3 linked regions of the Ovis aries genome follow. The protein of the gene in region 2 purifies or fractionates together with the protein of the main gene of each other region. This does not show direct contact. Links are inferred from orthologs where the notes say so. Each region holds a gene or a part of one and is shown on either strand. Other genes may lie near its edges.

Region 1 (3,651 bases), on a different chromosome or scaffold from region 2:
AACCTTACAATTACGGTCAACTGACTTTCAACAAGGATGCAAAGACAAAAAGGGAAGACACTTTCAACAAAAGGTGCTGGGGCAACTGAATATCCACATGCAAAAGAATGCATTTGGAACCATACTTCAGACCATGTAAGAAATTAAATGGATCATAGACTAAATGTAAGACCTAAATCTGTAAGACTCTTGGATAACCTAAGAGAACTAAAAATGTTAAGTCCACAATTAAACTTGGACACAAATGTTCATAGCAGCATTATTAACTATAGCTGAAAAGCAGAAACAACCCAAATGTCCATTAACTGATGAATGGATAAATAAAATGTGGAATATTCATATAATATGGGTCAGCTCTACAAAAAGAAGTGCTAACATCCTGCAACATGGATAACTCCTGAAGACATGTTAATCGAAAGAAACCAGTCACAAAGACCACATCCTATATAATTCCGTGTATACGAAAGGCCCAGAATAGGTTAATTTACAGAGTCAGAAAGTAGATCAGTTACTTATAAGGCTGGGGGAGGAGATAATAAGGAGTGACTGACAACCGGCACACGTTTTCTTTGGGTGAGGGCACCCACAAATGTTCTAAAATTAGACTGTAGTGTTGACTTTACAGCCAAGTAAACATATGCATATATATTTAAATGACTTGTGGGGGAGTTCCCTGGTCACCTAATGGTTAGGATTCCTGGCTTTCATTGCTGTGGCCCAGGTTCAATCCTTGGTGAGGGAACAGATTCCCCAAGCTGTGCAGCCACAGTAAAAAAACTGACTTGTATCTTGCATACTTTAAATAAGTGAATTGTACGGTATGTGAATTATATCTCAATAAAGATTTTCTAAAAAAAAAAAAACAACACTGTGGTACATATGTAAGTATGTAGGAATGAGGTAACATGATGTAAGATTTGCTTTCAAGTATTTTTATGAGGATAAAGATCTGTGCTTTCACTGAAGGGGGCATGGGTTCAATCCCTGGTGGGAGAGATAAGATTCTGCAGGCTACATGGTAGAGCCCACCCCCCTAAAAAACCAAAAGCAACCAAACTATGAAAGATGGAGGACAAAAGACTGTTCATCAGAGCATCTTGGGCTTTCCTGGTAGCTCAGCAGTAAAAAATCCACCTGCAATGCAGGAGACTTGGGTTCGATCCCTGGGTCAGGAAGATCCCCTGGAGAAAAAAATGGCAACCCACTCCAGTATTCCTGCCTTCCTGCCTGGGAAATCCCACGGACAGAGGAGCCTGGCAGGCTATAGTCCATGGGATCACAACAGTCAGACATGACTTAGCGATTAAACCACCATCACTGCTGGGCAATGGATATTTGGGTGTTCCTTATACCATTCAGAAAATTCTAATTAATAAAAGATTCCCTTTCATCAATAGATAATGGCTTCAGTAAGGCAGAATGAGAGGAACTTGGAGATCATACGGTGAAGATACTCAGTTAACAGATGGGATGCAGAGACAGAAAATAACTTTCTTAGGAATAAACAGAAGACAGACAAGGCGGCGAGAGATGGAGAGAAGTAAGCAGGGGCCCTGTCTTCTGAGGGGTTTGCTACTTAACAAACAACACAGCAAGCGGCTGGGGTGCCCCGGAAGGCCCAGGACTTACTTGAGTTTCAGCTCCCTGGTGAGCTCATTCTGGGTCTGCTCCAGCTCCTGCCGCTCCTTGATGTGCTCTTCTTGGAGGTCATGGATCTCTGCCTTGACTGCCTGAAGCTTAGAGAACAGCTGGAAACAACAGGAGAGGCGGCTGAGCCGGGCAGCCCTCTGGACAACAGAGTTCACTCTGCCCCACACCTCAAGGAGCCTCTGCCTGCCTCATTCCTTTCCTACCTTTTTGAGTTTCTTGGTCTTGATGTCCACCTCTTGCTGCAATGAGCTGTATGTCTCCTTCAGTTCCAAGGTCTCCTCGTCTCGGCTTTCCATCTGCTGCTGGATTTCTCTTTCTCGACGTTTCTGAGCAATGTCACAAAACTGATCAGTGTGCCTACAGACAACATCTATTCAAGAATATGGGGCTGGGTGCTCTAGATCAGTCTCCCACCAGGAAGGGGCTGACACATGTCCTTCTCATCACCTTTGAAGAGTCTAACAGAAAAGATATTGGCTCTGTAGCACTGACGCACCCCGCCCAACTCCATTCTCTCCCAAAGGGAGTGACAAGTTACCTGTTCTGCAATTTCCTGCCGTTTCTGCTCCAGGATTTTCTGCTGTTCATTTGTATGATCTACTATATTTTTTCCTCCAACAAGCAGCTTACTCTCCATAGCCTTTGTGAGAAAAGAGCAGAATCCAGGTCGTGAGTGGTCTCGCTCGGAACATAGCTCCTCACAGGGAAGCCTGTGAAAGACAAAGAGCTCCGGACCGAGCCAAAGCAGGTAAATTCTTAGGGAAAATATACTGTGCTCAGCTGGGCCTGTCTCATCACTGGGGTGGAGCTTTGGCGGCTTCACTAGGGCTTTATAATGGAAATACTGAAGACACAGCTTCCCTAGACATACATAAATTTCAGCTTTATATTTTAAAGAAAATTTTTGGTTTGTTTGTATGAAGTATTGACCTCAGTTAGAACCTATTAAGCACCTTCTACATGCTAGGTACTGAGGATGCCACTGTGAATATGAGTCAAAAGCTGAGAGTCCACAGAGGGCCACAAGCAGCAGGTTCTTATCAGATGGAACCAGATCTTATCATGAGGAAAGGACAGAGTAATACAGGCAGAGGCACACGGGAAGGAGGGAATTCAGGCTCTTCCCAAAGGCAGTCAGAGAAAAAGCTTCCTGTCTCAAGGGACAGCTACAAAAGTGCTAAAGTAAAAATAGGAAACAGCTAAGGAAAAAAAAAATTGTTTTCAGAGGGTAGGGTAGAGAGTGGTGATACATGAAGTTGGCAAAGCAATCGGGGGTAGTTCAAAAACCTCCAAGCCTTGTATGGGAGACTACGCTTGACCCTGAGAACTGCAGGAACCACTGACGTGTCCTTTGAGCACTAGGATACATAACCAGATCTGTGTTTTAGAAACAAAACTCCCCTGCACAGGAAGAAAAACTGGAAAAGGGCGGGCTGGGTGGAGTGAGAGCAGACAGGAGGCTGTTTTAAGGTTTCAGGCCTGAGCTGGGGCAGGAGAGGTTGGGAGAGCAAAGTGGATGGGTCCGAGAGAGGCAGGATTCAGAGACCGCGGGAGAGAGAGTGGCAGCTGGCAATGATAACTCCTAGGAAGGAGTCTGGCTAGACTGAGGAAAGGCAGGCCGAAGCAGGCTCTGCGTGGCCCTGGGCATCTCCGTGGAAATACCCAGCAGGCAGAGGCTATCAGCTGGGACGTTAGGAGACAGCTTTGGGCTAACCATGCAGACTGAAAACCTTCAGCATTTAGATGAGGGCTGAAGCCAGGGGAATGATTTGCACCTGAGAAGCACGGGCTCCAGAAACTCCACAACCTTGCTTTAAAGAAACTTCTACCCCTGCTGCCATGCTTCTGCCCCTGCGACTTTCCTCTTTTTTCAAAACGAAAAGGCTGGACTGATTAGTAATCACCACCCTCAACACACTCCCTTCCAGCTCTAAAATTCTTTCGTCTTATGACTGTGTATCATCCAGGGATTGAGAAAGACAGATGTCATGTCATTCTCCC
Region 2 (3,651 bases):
TATTCAATTCATTCAACAAATACATACTGATCATATAATGTGTGCTATATACTGTATACAAGGCTAACTAATAAAAGTACATATTAGGCACAAGGCATTTTATTTGCTATGGATGGAGAGAAATGACTGCTTAATTTTTTTAAAAGTGCAAATAAATTTTCTCTTTCATTTTTTCTACTTAATACAATCAAAACTGAAGTATAAGCTATGTCAAGGGTACCATATAATAGAACTTAGGAATGAAAAGAAAGATATATGTAAACTTGATAAGTGAAGTGAAGTGAAAGTTGCTCAGTTGTGTCCAACTCTTCGCGACTCCATGGACTGTCCATTAATAAATACTATGAAATGGAATAAGTAACCACTGATTAATCTGAGATAACTTTCCATTTAAATACCTGTACTTTTGTTTTGAGCTTGGACATTGGAAAATGTCTTCTATAAATAATCAATTACTTAGCTCTAAGTTTAATGAATTTATTCTTTTATGAGGCAATTAAAGATAGAAGAATAGTAACAATAGAGATGTTTGGCAATGAAAAGGTAAGTTTTCCTAAGAAAGATTCACAAAACATATGCATACCACAAATATTTTAACACTTAAATACTTTAGTAATCCAAATTATCAATTAATTGTCAATAAGAAATATAGAAAATATAAATAAGTTGCTCGGGTGGAGAAAACAGGTTTCCAGGCCTCAATTCTCTCTTTCTATTATTCCAGAATCAATATGAAAGATATTTGCTTTTTTATTCCTTATTTTATCATATGTGCGCATGCACACACACACACTTGGTACAAAATAGATCATTTTGTAAGCCTGGAATACTAGTATGTTTGTTTATTCTTTCATTCACTTAGTCATAGCACTAACAACAACAAAAAAAAAACCATCACCATTTAAATATCAAAAGTACAAACTACAGTCAAACAACTCTGGTTTTGTTTTTTTTTCATTTTTAAATTAATTTATTTATTTTAATTGGAGGCTAATTACTTACAATATTGAGGTGGTTTTTGCTATGGTTTTGCGTTAAAAATTTAGTTGTTCTTCTACTTACCTTTTCCTGACATTGAATCACGGCGGTTCTGGAGATAGTACAACAGCTGTTCCACTTCATTTAGCTTTGAGGGATGAATGAGTTTACATTCCTCAACCACCTTCCGTGCCAGGGAAGTTATATCTGTGTTGGCATTGAGACTTTTAAGACGGATACTGCAGGCAAATCAGAATTTTCCAACTCAGTTATTATTAAAGTAAGTAACAATTTAAACAGTACTTCTTTTAAATAATTTATAAAATATTTAATGTACCTGACATAGTCTCTTTTAGTAACATGTAATAAAGTATAAGATATAGCTAGACTTAGAAAAAAATGCAAAACAATGATTTTCTTCAAATTGGACAAACGAGATAACAAAAGGAATGGTAAAGTCTACATCTGACTCATCTAGGGAGGATAGCATATCCAGAGACCAGTTATAAAACAGTCTTTCTGATGTCATATACATATATTTATATCATATAAAGTTTTTAATTATTAGATATGAAAATCCATAGTGACAAAAATAAATCATTTTCTTGACCATATTCACAGTCATAGTTTTCAGTTAAGGACAGAATACAATATTAACATATTCAGATTTGATTATTCTGATGGAAATTATGCAGAAGGAAAAAAAAAGTAGGATGCATTTTAAGACTTATATGAGGAATGCTGAGGAACAAATGAATATAGTTATATTTGTCAGTACATTAAAAAAAAAACAAACAGGTTCTTCCTCCTTTTTAATTTAGTCCAGGAAATTCACTGCAAGATGAATAAGAAAAGGTTGTTCAAAATCTGGAAGCAATTGCCAATTTACATGGATTCATGACAACAAAGAAAGCTATAAGGACAAAAAATTAGGTTCAGGGTGAAGACTCAAACTGGTGGCAAGAGATTCTCGCAAGCAGATGCACTCATGCAAGGCTTAGATTCAAAAAGAGAGACAAAAGAAAGGAGCCACAGTGCTGAAATACTTCTTAGTGAAGATCGCTAGTGAAGATGGCTTAGTTAAAAGGCAGAGGAACTGGAGATCAAATTGCCAACATCCGCTGGATCATTGAAAAAGCGAGAGTTCCAGAGAAACATCTACTTCTGCTTTACTGACTATGCTAAAGCCTTTGACTGTTTCTGTGTGTGTGTGTGTGTGTGTGTGTGTGTGTGTGTGGAAAATTCTTCAAGAGATGGGAATACCAGACCACCTGACCTGCCTCCTGAGAAATCTGTATGCAGGTTAAGAAGCAACAGTTAGAACTGGACATGGAACAAGAGACTGGTTCCAAATTGGGAAAAGAGTATGTCAAAGCTGTATACTGTTACCCTGTTTATTTAACTTATATGCAGAGTACATCATGAGAAATGCTAGCCTGGATGAAGCACAAGCTGGAATTAATGTTGCTGGGAGAAATACCAATAACTTCAGATATGCAGATAACACCACAGTTCAGTTCAGTTCAGTTGCTCAGTTGTGTCTGACTCTTTGCGATCTCATGGACTGCAGCATGCCAGGTTTCCCTGTCCATCACCAACTCCCAAAGTTTACTCAAACTCATGTCCATTGAGTCGGTGATGCCATCCAACCATTTCATTTTCTGTCATCCCCTTCTCTTCCTGCTTTCAATCTTTCCCAGCTTCAGGGTCTTTTCAAATGAGTCAGTTCTTTGCATCAGGTGGCCAAAGTATTGGAGTTTCAGCTTTAGCATCAGTCCTTCCAATGAATATTCAGGACTGACACCACACTCATGGCATAAAGAGAAGAAGAACTAAACAGCCTCTTGATGAAAGTGAAAGAGGAGAGTGAAAAAGTTGGTTTAAAACTCAACATTCAGAAAACTAAGATCATGGCATCTGGTTCCATCACTTCATGGGAAATAGATGGGGAAACAATGGAAACAGCGAGAGACTTTATTTTAGGGGGCTCCAAAATTACTACAGATGGTGACTGCAGCCATGAAATTTAAAAATGCTTGCTCCTTGGAAGAAAAGTTATTCCCAACCTAGACAGCATATTAAAAAGCAGAGACATTACTTTGCCAACAAAGGTCCATCTAGTCAAAGCTATGGTTTTCCCAGTAGTCATGTATATATGTGACAATTGGACTATAAAGAAAGCTGAGCACAGAATTGATGCTTTTTAACCGTGGTGTTGGAGAAGACTCTTGACAGTCCCTTGGACAGAAAGGAGATCAAACCAGTCCATCCTAAAGGAAATCAGTCCTGAATATTCATTGGAAAGACTGATGCTAAAGCTGAAACTCCAATACTTCGGCCACCTGATGTGAAAGAACTGACTCATTGGAAAAGACCCTGATGCTGGGAGAGATTGAAGACAGGAGGAGAAGGGGATGACAGAGGATGAGATGGTTGGATGACATCCTTGACTCAATGGACATGAGTTTGAGTAAACTCCGGGAGTTGGTGATGGACAGGGAAGCCTGATGTGCTGCAGTCCATAGGGTCACAAAGAGGTGGACATGACTGAGCGAATGAACTGAAGATGGCTAAGTTTGGGAGAAACTGAAGGTATTAGAGGCAACAGGGACAGAGACCTTAGAAAAAGAGACGACAGGGACAGAGACCTTAGAAAAATGTCCTGCACTCAGC
Region 3 (3,751 bases), on a different chromosome or scaffold from region 2:
GGGATAGCTTGCAATGATGAGTAAGAGGGAAGATTGCAGGAACCAAGGACTGTGATCCGAGCCTGTGACTTTTATGCTGGGAGATGAGAAATCACTGGCAGGTTATGAATGAAGACAGTGTTGTTTTAGTTGCCAAGCCGTGTCAGACTTTTTGCAACCCCACCCACTGTAGCCGCCAGGCCCTTCTATCCATGGAATTTCCCAGGCAAGACTACTGGAGTAGGTTGCCATTTCCTTCTCCAGGAGATCTTCCCCACCCAGGGACAGAACCTCCATCTCCTGTATGGGAAGGCAGATTCTTTACCGGTGAGCACTCTGCCTCTTGTGTTGAAAGTAGACTAGGATGGGCAAGGATGCACTGCAAGGAAACTAGTTCTGAGCTGTTTAGTAATGCAGGCGAGAGATGGTGGTGCTCAAAGTGGTCAGATTCTGGTTCTACTTCTGAGACAGAGACAACTAGTTCTAGTTCTGTAGAAAGATTGGATATTAAGTATGAGAGAAAAAGACTGTGATTTAATCTGATCAATGGTCAGAATCCAGCTTACATTATTGTGATGGACTTTTAAAGTTGTTTATATTTAACAGGTGTGGCATAGGTACTAGTAGGCGATAGGAAGTGCGAATCAACGGTTCAATTTTGGACATAATAAACTTGAAATTATTGCACGTCCAAGCAGAGCGGTGTTCAGGGGAGTGGTTCAGATAGGTCATTCTTTCTTTCACAAGTATTTATTGAAAATCCACCTTGTGCCATCTTCTATTCTAGGCTCTGGAGGTAACTGAGAATACTGACAAAGTTCCTCAGCTAATGGTGAGACAGGTCATAAGTTGGCAATCAAGCACAATAACGTATGTAAAGTGGCTCTTCTGAGGAAACACAATGTACAATTGCTATCGTTGTTTATAATATTTAGAACATAGCAAGCGCTAGAAGATGGGCGGCGTTGTGCCTCTTCTTCCCCAACCGTAGTAGCCAGATATCCCACCTCCAAATCCGGTCAGATTTCCAGCGGCAGCGGAATGGCAGCATTGCGCAAGCGCAGCCTCAGCCTGGCTTCCTAGGAGACGGACTCGGAAAGTTCTGGCGCAGGCGTAATCCGAGTGGCGGAGGAAGCCTCGTGCCCGGGGATGGGGCGGGGCGAGCCCGGAGTGCGCCTGCGCACAGCGAGCTCTCGCCAGAGGAGCCGCAGTCTTGGGTGCGCCAAGGAGGTGTTTCAGGAGTGTCTGATCCGCCTCTCCCGCGAAGCCGGCGTTGTTGGACTGCACCCCGGGCGGGGACGTCCACGGGGCACGGGAGGAAGCCGCAATGCCGGTAAGGAGAGTCACTCAGCCGCTGGGGCTCCTCCTCATCTCTGCGGCCTGGCCGGGTGGCGCGGCCGTTACCATGGAGGCGCGGAGCAGGCTGGCGGCCCGGGTGGGGCGGGGCCGGGCCGGGCCGGGCCGGGCGGGCCAAGCGGTGTGGGAGCCAGGCGGTTGGGCCCGGGCATGTGGGGGTCCACCCGACCCCGGGAGGGGCCCGGAGCAGGCCTTGCCACCTTGGTCGCTGCTGAACCCCGAAAGGCCTGGGGTGCTTGACATAAAGGCGCTGTGCCGGAGGATGCGCGCTCGCTCCCAGCCCTGTTCTCTGGGTAGGGCGTCTAGGAGCGGCCGCGGAGGGTTGGCTCTTGGATGCCAGGTGGGGCTCTGCGTCGCGGGGCCGGGCTCTGGAAGGCAGCAGAGCACGGGTTGTCTGCCCCTACTCCAGGCTCCTGACTCGAGCTGTCATTCCTCTCGTGGCGCCCCAGCTGACAGTGCAGAATGTAATCCGTAGGCGTCTTTGTGTGTGAGGCGGGTGAGTGGTGGGTGATGGTATGCTTGTCTTGTAGGATTTCACAGATTATTATCGTGTGACTTAATAAGGGGGCGTCGTAAGTCCAGTCATGGGGAACCCTCCAACTGTGGCCGGTTATTTACGTGAGGGGGTGAGTGGTGGATGGTCGTATGTTGCGTCTTGTAGGATTTCACAGGTTATAAGCAGGCGTCGTAAGTCCATTATAGGGTCATGGAGAACAGCTGAGAAGTGGCCGGTTGCGAGGCCCTGGGTAATTTATCTTTCTGGGTTCTTCTTTCCTGCATAATTAAACTTTTCCTCATGGGGGTATCAGGATGAAATAAGATAATACGCAGGAGGCTTGAAGGACAGTGCTTGACTCTTAGCATTAAATGCTTAATATTTGTTCCTTGTTGCTTTCTATTTAATTATCAATTTATTCAACAATTTATTACTGGGCACCAGCCACACTGTTGGCTCAGTAGTAAAGAATCCCCCTGGTAATACAGGAGAAGCTGGTTTGGTCCCTGGTTGGGGAAGTTCCCCTGCAGAAGGAAACGACAACCCACTCCAGTATTCTTGCCTGGAAAATCGCATGGACGAAGGAGTCTGGCGGGCTACAGTCCATGGGGTCACGACTTAGCTACTAAACAACAACAACTACATACTAGGCACTGGAGATACAATATTGAGCAAAACCAGCCAGGTTCTTGAACTTGGGAAGAGAAAAGCTTGCCCTGTAGGGCAGAGGTGAAAACCACACATAGTGATAGGATGCTTAACTAAGTGAAGTGGATCAGTGGCCTACAATAGAAAGAAGTAGACTCTGGTGAATTGTTTAAATGTTGCCATGTAGGAATGCTGGCTTACAAATGTCAGATATCTATCTGTTTTTCAGAGAATCTAGAGATTGTTCTTTTAATGAGATTTCTAATTTTTAAATTTTAGCAACTGACTTAAAAGATTTTTAGATAATAGGAGCCAAACAAAAGACATTTGTGGGCTAAATTTAGTCCCTTGACTGAGTACCTGTTTGGAACTTCTCAGTTAGATACAGACACAGACTGTAATAAAATAAGAAGCCAAAAAAAAAAAAAAAAAAGTAAAATTGTAACCAGTGCAGAAGAAAGAATGGTGCTATCAGGACCTATATTAGGTCAACTCTAGTCAGGGAAGTCTTCCCAGGTGAAGGAGCTGTTGAGCTGAGCTCTGCAAAGTAATTGAAGAGGGGGGAGTATGTTTTAGGCATAAGAAACAGCACCTGGAAAGGAGTGTGGTGAGAGGAAGCATGAAGACAAGAAAAGGCCTAAAAGAAAGCCAAGCAGAGTAACTTGTGAAATAAAGCTGGAGAAGTGGACATGGGCCAGAACCAGATCTTACAGACCACTGTAAGGATTTTGACTTTTATCCTAAAATCTGTGGGAAACTATTGTAGAATTCTGAGTAGGGGAGTGACTTAATTAGATTAGTTGAAACTGACTGCCAGGTAGAGAACAGACCATATCGGAACCTAATTAGATGCAGCAATACAGTTGGTGGTGGTGTTTAGTTGCTAAGTCATGTCCAACTCTTTGCCACCCAATGGACTGGAGCCTCCCAGGCTCCTCTGACCTTGGGATTTCCCAGGCAGGAATACTGGAATGGGTTGTCATTTTCTTCTCCAGGGGATCTTCCCAACCCAGGGATTGAACCTGAGACTCCTGAATTGCCAGGCAGATTGTTTATCGCTGAGCCACCAGGAAGCCCAGCAGTACAGTTAGGAGTTTCTTATAATTCGGGACAAGATAACCTGGAATAAGGTGGTGAAAGTAGAGATGGAAAGAAGTGTGTTGACTTGATATCATCTATTCCTTGTGAATGACAGTGGCTCATGTTTGTTTCTCTGATGCTTAGAAGAGTATCTGAAAGAGTAGGAATTTAGTATCTGTTCAACTTAACTGT

What was found.
Region 1: the proteins of KIFAP3 (region 2) and KIF3B purify together in Homo sapiens (co-immunoprecipitation; 7 studies listed by BioGRID and IntAct, counting the BioPlex papers as one, with this or other methods). This does not show direct contact. The link is inferred for Ovis aries from reciprocal best matches to the Homo sapiens genes KIFAP3 and KIF3B.
Region 3: the proteins of KIFAP3 (region 2) and KIF3A purify together in Homo sapiens (co-immunoprecipitation; 9 studies listed by BioGRID and IntAct, counting the BioPlex papers as one, with this or other methods). This does not show direct contact. The link is inferred for Ovis aries from reciprocal best matches to the Homo sapiens genes KIFAP3 and KIF3A.

What each region holds. Positions count from the first base shown.
Region 1 is NC_056066.1:61,436,145-61,439,795, reverse strand, and holds part of KIF3B (kinesin-like protein KIF3B), read right to left. Parts: intron 2,291-3,651; coding exon 2,189-2,290; intron 1,977-2,188; coding exon 1,854-1,976; intron 1,749-1,853; coding exon 1,630-1,748; intron 1-1,629. UniProt on the Homo sapiens protein: Microtubule-based molecular motor that transport intracellular cargos, such as vesicles, organelles and protein complexes. Uses ATP hydrolysis to generate force to bind and move along the microtubule. Plays a role in cilia formation.
Region 2 is NC_056065.1:36,965,481-36,969,131, forward strand, and holds part of KIFAP3 (kinesin-associated protein 3), read right to left. Parts: intron 1,218-3,651; coding exon 1,063-1,217; intron 1-1,062. UniProt on the Homo sapiens protein: Involved in tethering the chromosomes to the spindle pole and in chromosome movement. Binds to the tail domain of the KIF3A/KIF3B heterodimer to form a heterotrimeric KIF3 complex and may regulate the membrane binding of this complex.
Region 3 is NC_056058.1:19,390,226-19,393,976, forward strand, and holds the start of KIF3A (kinesin-like protein KIF3A), read left to right. Parts: upstream 1-1,306; coding exon 1,307-1,675; intron 1,676-3,751. UniProt on the Homo sapiens protein: Microtubule-based anterograde translocator for membranous organelles. Plus end-directed microtubule sliding activity in vitro. Plays a role in primary cilia formation. Plays a role in centriole cohesion and subdistal appendage organization and function.